2 linked regions of the Sus scrofa genome follow. The protein of the gene in region 1 purifies or fractionates together with the protein of each later gene. This does not show direct contact. Links are inferred from orthologs where the notes say so. Each region holds a gene or a part of one and is shown in the gene's direction. Other genes may lie near its edges.

What was found.
Region 2: the proteins of GNA13 (region 1) and ARHGEF11 purify together in Homo sapiens (affinity purification with western blotting; 3 studies listed by BioGRID). This does not show direct contact. The link is inferred for Sus scrofa from reciprocal best matches to the Homo sapiens genes GNA13 and ARHGEF11.

The regions. Positions count from the first base shown.
Region 1 is NC_010454.4:11,963,494-11,968,687, reverse strand, and holds the start of GNA13 (guanine nucleotide-binding protein subunit alpha-13), read left to right. Parts: upstream 1-1,774; 5' UTR 1,775-2,098; coding exon 2,099-2,381; intron 2,382-5,147; coding exon 5,148-5,194. UniProt on the Homo sapiens protein: Guanine nucleotide-binding proteins (G proteins) are involved as modulators or transducers in various transmembrane signaling systems.
Region 2 is NC_010446.5:93,132,104-93,136,531, forward strand, and holds part of ARHGEF11 (rho guanine nucleotide exchange factor 11), read left to right. Parts: intron 1-657; coding exon 658-700; intron 701-1,859; coding exon 1,860-1,956; intron 1,957-2,180; coding exon 2,181-2,303; intron 2,304-4,428. UniProt on the Homo sapiens protein: May play a role in the regulation of RhoA GTPase by guanine nucleotide-binding alpha-12 (GNA12) and alpha-13 (GNA13). Acts as guanine nucleotide exchange factor (GEF) for RhoA GTPase and may act as GTPase-activating protein (GAP) for GNA12 and GNA13.

The DNA.
Region 1 (5,194 bases):
GAACCGCCAGACCTCTGGCTCATTTATATGCTCACATTTTCAAGGGAGCTGGATTACCAGACAGTTCGAAACAGTTGGACTACTGCAGCCAAAACTCAGGCGAGGCCCGAAGAGATCTCATTTTTCAGAAACATCGATTAGAGCAGCTGGGCCAGTTCTGAGCTAAGCTTGTTCCAACACAAGGTTATAGGCAGGGCTTTGAATAGCTTTCTCTGCTGTTTTGCATGTCACAACATGAACTGGCTGGGCAGGAATACCTTCCTGCCTCCTAGGCATCCTTGGTTCTCCATTACGTTGCACACACTTTTGGAAAAAGAAAAAAAAATATGTTAACTACTTAACTGATAGGCTTCCCTCTTCCTGTTTTCGTAGAATTCAGATTAGCATCTGGAGTCCATATAGAAAGGGTGCTTGGAGGCCGGTGCTAGACCCCTGCCCTGGTTCATCCTTTCATGGGTGGAGAACAGAGCCTCCCAAACACTAGCTGAGGCCACAGAGAGATCTTGCAACCAGGAGAGACGTTTACCCTATATTTTACCTGAAGGCACCACCTAGTGATTCTGGCCCTAACAATCCTTAGATATTAAGAGTTGAACCTACACTACTTTGTATATTGTAGCTTGTCCACCCTGTGGGCTTGGCCAGGACAAGAGGAGATAATCCCACTACAGGCACTGTTTACTGCAGCCAGTTTACTGAGTCATGAGGCTCCTCGGACATTAACCCAACCCAGACAGTGAACTGATTAGCACTGATTTTTAAAATTTAAACCTGTTCCTGAGCCTCTTGGGAGTGCTGACCTCTTTCTTCAGTTTCTGACGCATAGACGTTTCTGAGCCACAGAAGTTCTCATCAAGGAACATTAGGGTTGTACTGCCATAAACGGAGACCACCCCAAAAGCCTTTTTGCACTTAAAACTAGAATACCAAGAATGAAGAAGTTGGCTTTTGGGGGCCAACCCAGCTGTCACTGGTCGCTTGTCTCCTGGCAGCCCTTCAGGTGTCCTGGCCTGAATCTGCTATTAGGATAGGAAAAAAGTCCCTTGGCTGGTCATATCCTCTGTAATCTGGCAGGAAACCTAAAATTTGCCGGCTCTTCTCCTCGGTCTGTTTGCTTATCTGCTTCCTTGTTAGGGAAGAGTCTGCATCACAGTGTCCGGTTAAGGGGGATTTTCACCATGACCTCACCCTACTGCAGCTACATCTTGATTTCAGCAGCTTGGGTTGGAATCCGCATCAATGAGACATCAACAACCCCTCCTCGCCCATCTCAGATTAACATCAACACGAAGTCTTTCTCCTCCAAGAGATGATCTTTGTAGGGCTCAGAGAATACCGAAGAGAGCTGCGGGCCGGTGTTGGGGAGGATGTGAAGATGTTTGGTTAACGTTTTGAGTTTGTGAGAGCAGGATGTCAAGGAAGATACTCTAGGAAAACGCACCAAAAACTTGCCCAACTCGCGCTCGCTCTTTGAATAACATTCAAGCCAATGGCCTCGAAACTAGGAGAGCGAACGATGACAGCCGGCGACCCGCACGTAACCGCGGCGGGAGCGGTTGGGGAACCCAAAGTGCTGCATCTGAGTTCTTCTCTCCGGGCCCCAGCCTCCAGGGCTCCCGGAAGCAGCCCTTGGGCGCGTAAGTGGGTGCAGCTAATTAAAGGGAAACAGAAAGGCTGGCTCTGCAAGGCGCCCAGCCCGAGATCACATGAACACAAGGCCCCACCCCTTCAACCCCTCCCCGCGCGCGCCTGACGGCGGCCGCGAATTCACAGTAGAACGTGATTCTCCGGCCCAGCGCACGGGTCGGAGGAGCCGCCGCGGCGTGCGCGCGCGCCCCCGGAGGCAGCGGGCACGCGCACGTCCCCCGGGCCACCGCCCCTCCCAGGCCCGCCCTCCTTCCCTCCCTCCCTCCCTCCCCGGCTCGCCTGGCCCGCCCTGCGAGTCAGTTCGCTGGTTCCCTCCCTCCCCCGGCGCGCTCGGGTCGCCACTGCGCTCCCCGCCCTCGAGCCGCGGTGCCGGAGCCGCCCGCCGCCCGAGGAGGAGGTGGAGGGAGCCGGAGGGGCCCGCCGAGGCGGCGGCGGCGGCGGCGGCGGCAAGATGGCGGACTTCCTGCCGTCGCGGTCCGTGCTGTCCGTGTGCTTCCCCGGCTGCGTGCTGACGAGCGGCGAGGCCGAGCAGCAGCGCAAGTCCAAAGAGATCGACAAATGCCTGTCGCGGGAGAAGACCTACGTGAAGCGGCTCGTGAAGATCCTGCTGCTGGGTGCGGGCGAGAGCGGCAAGTCCACCTTCCTGAAGCAGATGCGGATCATCCACGGACAGGACTTCGACCAGCGCGCGCGCGAGGAGTTCCGTCCCACCATCTACAGCAACGTGATCAAAGGTGCCGGGCCGGGGTCGGAGCCGGGGGGCCGGGGGCCGGGGGCGGCCGCGGGCCGGCGCGGGACCGGGCACCGCCCTCGTTCGCTCAGTCCCCGGAGTAGAAACGGGCCCGGCGGGCGGGCGCGCGGGAAGGGGGCGCGCCCCGGGCACCGACCCTGCCTGCCCGGGGTGCCCTTGCCCCCAGCGGAGGGGATGCCTGGGGGTGCCCCTTTTCCCTCTTGCTGCGGGGCAGGGATCCCGGCTGGCCCCCCACCCCCCACTCCGTCGCTGGCCTCGCCCCCTGCGAGAAGGGAAGTGAAGGGAGCCGGGTGCCGGGAGTGCGGGGTGCCCCCTCCTGTCTTCCCTCCTCCGGACGAGGCAGCAGACCCGAGAGCCAGCCCCAGACCCTACACCCTGACCCCACGCCCCAGCGCTGCCTGCCCAGCCTCGCCTTCCCGGGTGGGTGGGTGCCCGAGTCACATGGGATCGGGGCTGCTCCCACTTCCCTGCTTCCTTGGCCCTTCCAGTGTTCTGGAACCATCGCAATGAGGAAACTTTTGCCCGAGACTCTGGTCAAGGGCGAACGGTGACTGCTCTTGGACCCTTTGGGGCAAGGATATGAAACTTGAGGGTGTCCTGTTTATTGTACTGGCGTCAGGAAAGAGTAGCCCCATTTAGTTAGTCTAAAAAAGTTCGCAGCGGTGGTTTTTCGCCCGGGTGTCACGGTGGGGCAGGATGTTTGCCTGTAATCACTATGCAACACGTTCCACTCTCCTTTTGCTTAGTAACTGGGGGCCGGAGGGAAGGGGTACCACCACTTGCTTCTACTACTTAAATTAAACTGTGTGTTGATAATAAAGAATCTTTGGCCTAGAAGTGATGCAGAGCCTGTACAAGTTGAGTCAGTGAATCAGTGTCGGCTCTGCTTCTGTTTGTCAGTATTTTTTAAGTTAGATTAAGCCTTGTTAATAAGTGAAAAACGCACAAGAACTTTATTTCTGGTCTTTCAAAGAGCTAAGAGAAGAGGGATTTTATTTTTGTCGTTTGAGTGTTAATTAGCACTTCATTTTCTTTGTATCATATTTTCTACTTTATAAAAGGCATTTGCCAAAGTTGCGGTACGGAGTCTGGTACTTCAGGTGTGTCAGGATTCTCTCTGTTGCATCTGGGTAGCAATTATCTAGGAGTTCGCTATAGATTTCAAGCTTTTCCAAGCAGCATTTTTTTGAGTGGGATTTTTTTGTTGTTCAGGAAGTGCTTAAGTTACTCTCTGGTGTCACTTTTTTTTCTCCCAGGATTGAGTAGAGGAAAACTGCTTGGGGGGGGGGGAAGGGGAAGCTTTGTGAAGCTAATAACGGGGGAGAGCACTGCGCCAGGAACTCATAGACCACAGCCAGCCCTAGTACCTCTGCAGTTAAGTTATTAAAAAAAACCGGTTGTATTTATCCCTTCTTAACGTTTAGTAGTGCAACATTAATTGAGGTGTCTTTCAAAGCCGAAGACTCTGCCTAACCAGGCTCTAATTGAAGGTACCTTTGTATACCGATGCCCAAACTTAAGGAGTTCTGTCAGTGAATAGTTAACATGTTAACTGATTATAAGCCAGCTAAATAAACATCTGGCCCTGTTTTGTTTTTCATGTTTTGGTTTTTTTGTTTGTTTGTTTTGTCATTTTAGGGCTGCACCCATGGCATATGGAAGTTCCCAGGCCAGGGGTCCAATCTGAGCTATAGCAGTTGGCCTCTGCCCCAGCCACAGCTACAGCTATGCCAGATCTGAGCCACATCTGCGACCTACACCACAGCTCACGGTAACACTGGATCCTTAACCCACTGAGCAGGGCCAGGGATCCAACCTGCGTCCTCATGGATACTAGTCGGGTTCGTTTCTGATGAGCCACGACAGGAACTGTACCTGGCCCTCTTTTAACACCTGGTTCTCAATGTGCTCTGACTTCTAAGTGTGACCTACTTTGAGCCTTGATTATGAGATGAAGTCACTAGCCATCTACTTTTTTGAGTTGGCATGATCAGAAAATTGACAGCCAAACAGTTTTTCAGTTATCCAAACAAGTGACCTAAGAGCCATGTGATTATTGAGAGGGACTAAAAGTAACAGCTTAATGATAGAAATAATGGGTTTGAATTAATCACCATGAGTTTGAAATCTCTGTTTTTATACTGTTTTTGCAATTGGTCTTCCTCCTTTTAGGGAAGTCTAACTAAGGCCATCGTGTGCCTCACACTGATTTAAAGCTTGGTATTGGGAGTTTTTGAGTTTTGAATGTTTCCTGGAAGACTCAGCGTTGGGCTCAGCCGGTGCTCGGGGACCAAATAGGCCACAGGGCGACATTGTTTGTTGTTGACATTTCATAAATAAATATCTCTTTGAGGGACTCAGAAAACCTTGCAGATCCTTCTTCAGAGCCTGGACGTGCAGGCTGTACGTACAACTTTATCGTTTCTTTTTCCTTCACTAGTTTTGGTTCTCTGGTGACAACATTCTACGCAGAACTTACTTTATAAATGAGAACATGTTAAAATCCTTCAGGAAGTACTTGTGGTAATTGCATGTGCTTTTCAAAGCTCTGATTTTATGACTGTGAATAACAGTTTTTTTACACTGAGAAATTACTCTACTTTTGACTGTTAGTCTTCATTTTTGGAGGCACTGGGCCTGGAGTTCTCAAGAAGTTTAAGGAAATAATACTGGAGTCAAATCTCTTGAGAATATCTAATGACTTTCCTCATACCTTTTTTTTTTTTTTTTTTTTCTCCTCCAAATGAAGGTATGAGGGTGCTGGTGGATGCTCGAGAGAAGCTTCACATTCCTTGG
Region 2 (4,428 bases), on another chromosome or scaffold:
AGTTCCCATCTTAGGCTTTCTAATCTGATCAACTAAACTCATTCCCAAATGACTTGACTCGTCTGGCAGTAAGCTACTAGGACTAATGAGATTGAGAAATAAACTGTTTTTACCTCCAGATTTTAATTTTAGCCCCCTTAGTGGGTCTTGAGTAAGGAGATTAGAGCTGCCAGTTGTTCCTTGGTGGTGGTTATGGAACCACCCCAGGATCCAGCTGTCAGGTTCTCGTAAAGCCAAAGCCAGGCCGTGCGCACTCACTGGAAGATGCAGTAGCAGAAGGCCCGTGTTCCCTGGGGGGTGAAGGAGAAGGGGAGCCCATCGACTCACCTCGTAAGACTCCTCCCCTGCTGCTAAATTGTCCCCCCCTCCACTTTTTGGAACCTTTCCATTCAGTACAGCCTGAGATCCTTGAAATAAGAGCAGGAAAACTGCAGGTACCACCCTCAGAATATACAGTCCCAGCTTGCCTCGTAGCCTCCGATGCCAGTTCTCAGAATCCCTAGCTAGAGTTCAGTGGAGATGGGTGAGCGGAGGTGGGGTCGTGTAGGGAAAGGGGGAGGAGAGGTAGTGCCCAGAGCCCTCCTTGCCCCCGCACGATTCCCACCATGCCCTGGGGTGTGTGGACCTCACCACTCTGCCCCCTCTTCTGTTTTTCAGCCTCTGAGAGTGAAGGTCCCGGAGATGTTACAGGCTGAGATTGGTAAGTTGGCTCCTTGGTCATCTAGTCTCTTCTTCAGAGGTGGCTTCAGGGATGGAAGGGACATAGTCTCTACCTTGGGCAGCTGTTCTCTAATAGGGGATATGGGGACCTTTCCTCCAGAGCTCCTCAAAGTAGCTCATGGACAAGCACAACCACTGGGAGCTACTCTGCCTGATCAAGCCTGTCACGGCAGGGCACGAGTTGGTCAGGAGACCAGGGTCACTTCTGCCAACCTTGCACCTGACCTCTGTGGGCCTGGGTTGGGTCATCTGTACAAAGAGGAAATTGGATTCCTAAGCCTGGTCATCATCAGGATCCCTTGGGGGCTTCTGTCTTAGAATTACCAAAACCAGGGCCTCCCCCACCCCACCCCACCCGCAGAGTCAGACTCTCTGGAGTGTTTCTGCTCTTGTGTTTTTGGTGGTGTGTGTTCCTAAACCTGTGCTGGGTGGGGAGCCAGTGAGCTAGGTGATTGCTCTGTTCCCTTCTCGTTGTCAAATCATGAGTGGAAGAGCCAAGGAAGGGTGCCAACCTGAGAGGCTAATCACAGGAGCTTTCTAGAGGGTCTTGGTTCAAAGCTGCCTTCAAAAAGAGGTCCTTTAAAGGCCTGGATGATAGGAAAGCTAATGGGCACAGACAGAGGGTAAAGAGAACTTGCTCCAAAGCAGAGCAGAGGGTGGCCAGCCACTCCCGGAGACGTAGCCTCAGCTGAGTGAAGCCAGGTGCAAGGACAGGAGAGACACCTTCCAGTTTCTGGTGGGAAGTTGGGTTTCCTGTGCAGTGCTTGCCTTTTGCAGCCTTGTGAGCTGACCCTGGGGCGGTGGAATGAGGATGAGCCTTGCAGAGGTGTGCATTTAATGTCAGAGGGCAGTGTCTGGACACAGGCAGAGAGGGGATTTAATAGTTCTCCACTCAATGGAGTGTGGAACATCCCGGAAACGATTTTGTCCTTGCCTTGGGACTTGGATGTCAGAATTCCAGTCCTGAATTCAGGAATGACCTGGTAGGTCCAGGCCTCCACTTCCCTTGGCTGACAGGAGGGCAGAAAGCCAGCCTCTGCCCCCGGTGCCACAGGCAGCTAAGAGGCTTTGAGATGCTCAGCAGATGTGACCTCCTTCTCCCGACATCCCTCCCCTTCCTGTCTGGGCTCCCACCACAGACCTGCGCCTGCGGAGCGGCGAGGATGTGCGCGCTGTTCTCTGCGAGGCTCAGGAGGCCGCCATGCCCGACATCCAGGAGCAGATCCAGGACTACAGGTGCCCGGTGCCCCCCGCCCCGCTCTCCCCTCTGCCTCCTCACCCTTGTTCTTGACCTGCGGGGTATGTGTCTCGTGTGTGTGTGTGTGTGTGTGTGTGTGTGTGTGTGTGTGTGTGTGTGTTTGTGTGTGGTGTGTGTGTTGGTGTGTGTGTATGGTGTGTGTGTCTGTGCACCTCTCTGTCAGACGTTGGTATACGTTTGTTTCTTTCGCTCTCTGGCTCAGAACAAAGCGCACGCTGGGGCTGGGCAGCCTGTATGGTGAAAACGACCTGCTGGACCTGGATGGGGACCCTCTCCGCGAGCGCCAGGTGGCGGAGAAGCAGCTGGCTGCCCTAGGAGACATTTTGTGAGTCTCCGGTTCCACTCCCACCCCTGAACATGCCCAACAGTTTGACACAGTTTGTGGGTCTATTTCCTAGTCCCTCCCCCTCTGCCACTTCTTGCCTGATCCTTCTTCCCCCGAAAGCTGGGGAGAATCCTGCCCTCCTGCTCCATTTCTCAGGCCGGGTCTGTGGGAGTTTCAAGGGAATTGTGGAGCCTGGAGCTTCTGAGGGCAGTTTGGTGGTTATAACAAACCTCGGGCCTCAGCATCGCAGTGAGCTTTCTGGCCCCTTCCTGCCGCTAAGATCGCATCTGACACTGAGTACAAGAGCCATGCAGTGATTCTCCAGGGGGTAAAGTTCCTTCAGGAGGCAGGCAGAACTGGCTTACAGGAATCAGACCGTTTTTAACTAATCATATCGGAAGACTAACCAAACTAAACTTACGAAGGAACTCCTGGCACAGCTGCTGTGAATGCCTCTTTCCAGCCCTATTTTCTAAAGTGTTTCAGGTGCCTGGGTTGACTTTGTGGGGACACTTCCAGGCTTAGAGGTAGATTTTCACCCCAGTACTGCTTCTCCACTCAGTAATTGTGTAACCTTGATCAAGCCATTGCATCCCCCTCGGTCTCATCTATAAAATGACAGATCTTGGGCTAGACAATCTCTGTAGCCTCTACTAATGCTGATACTTCAAGCCAGCAAGTTTTTATGGAGTCTCCGATGGTGCTAAGCACTGTTCTAGGCTCCTGGGATGCATTAGTAGAGAAACAATGTTTGTGGAGCTTGTGCTATTGTGGGAAGAAAAAGCAGTGTGTATTATGCAGGTAAATTGCAGAGTACATTAGAAAATGAGGGTTGGGGATCAGGGAACAGAGCAGGCCAAGGGGGCCCAGGAGCATCTGAGCCAGGGGATTGCACCTTCAAATAGCGCCTCATCCAGACGTTTACATGTAGGGGGCATGGGCATCCTCGGAAAGGGGGCATGGGCATCCTCGGAAACATCTTGGAGGAAGAGCATCCCAGGCAGAGGGAACAGCCAGGGCAGAGGAGCGACATGCTTGACATGTTTGAGTGCAGAAGTCAGAGGGGCGACAGGAGAGGCGGCCTCCCAGAAGCTGTGGACAGTTGTAAGTTTCTTTCCTCCCAGTGAATGAGGAACCGTTGGAGCCGGGAGCAACTTGAGAGTGGTGGGAGAGCAAAGGAGGGTTCCAGGCAGGGAGGTCAGTTACAGGAAGTCCCCCGGTAGGGCTGGCATGGGAGCATTGCCCCTGGGGCTGTGAAAGGAGTTCCAGGTATGTTTTGACAGGAGGGCCAACGGGAGGATTTCCTAACAATTGATGTATAGGATGTGAGAGAAAGAAAAACCAAGGAAAAGGAAAAAAACTCCACGTTTTTTACCTAAATGACTAAAAGGACGAAGCTGCCATCCGTTGAGTTAGGTACAGCTGTGTGAGAAGCGATCCTGTGGTAGAAAATCAGGGCCTCGGTTTCAGACGTGTCAAAATCTCAGATCTCTTTTAGACATCAAAGTGGAGAACCGAGTAGGCAGCTGCCAATAGGAATCTGGCATTTGATGAGAGGTCCCACGGAGAGGACATATTTCGTCTTTGAAAACAACCCTCCAACCTTCAGCTGAGCCCTGAATCTTTCTGGGCCTTAGTTTCCCTAGCGATCAGATGGCGCTGATCACCCCGATGACACCAGGGATGGAAGCAAAAAAGCTGCCAGAGCCTGTTCTGAGATTGTAGGCACCACAGAATTACATGGGATTGTTATTGACAGCATAGGCACCCTGCTTCTAATGGCTTGTATTTAAAAGAATGCAGCCTCCGTTTCATTAAATGGAGATGTAATGGATTATTTGGGTATAAATAGTATACATGTAAATAGCCCTTGGCCCATAGCGAGCACACAGATATTAATTGCTGTTCCCACTTACCTCTTTTAAATAGGTTCCCCTGAATCAGGTCCCAAGGTATTATCTCCGCTGTCTCACCGTCTTTCCTCTTGCCTCAGTGTCAGCCCGACCCTTCTAATTGAGTTCTAGGTGGACACAGGGAGGAGCCTCTTCCTCCCTAACTTCAGAGGCTGAAACAGATAGCAAGCCAGAGGCTGCATTTGCCACGCGCCCCTTCCTTTTAGCTAGAA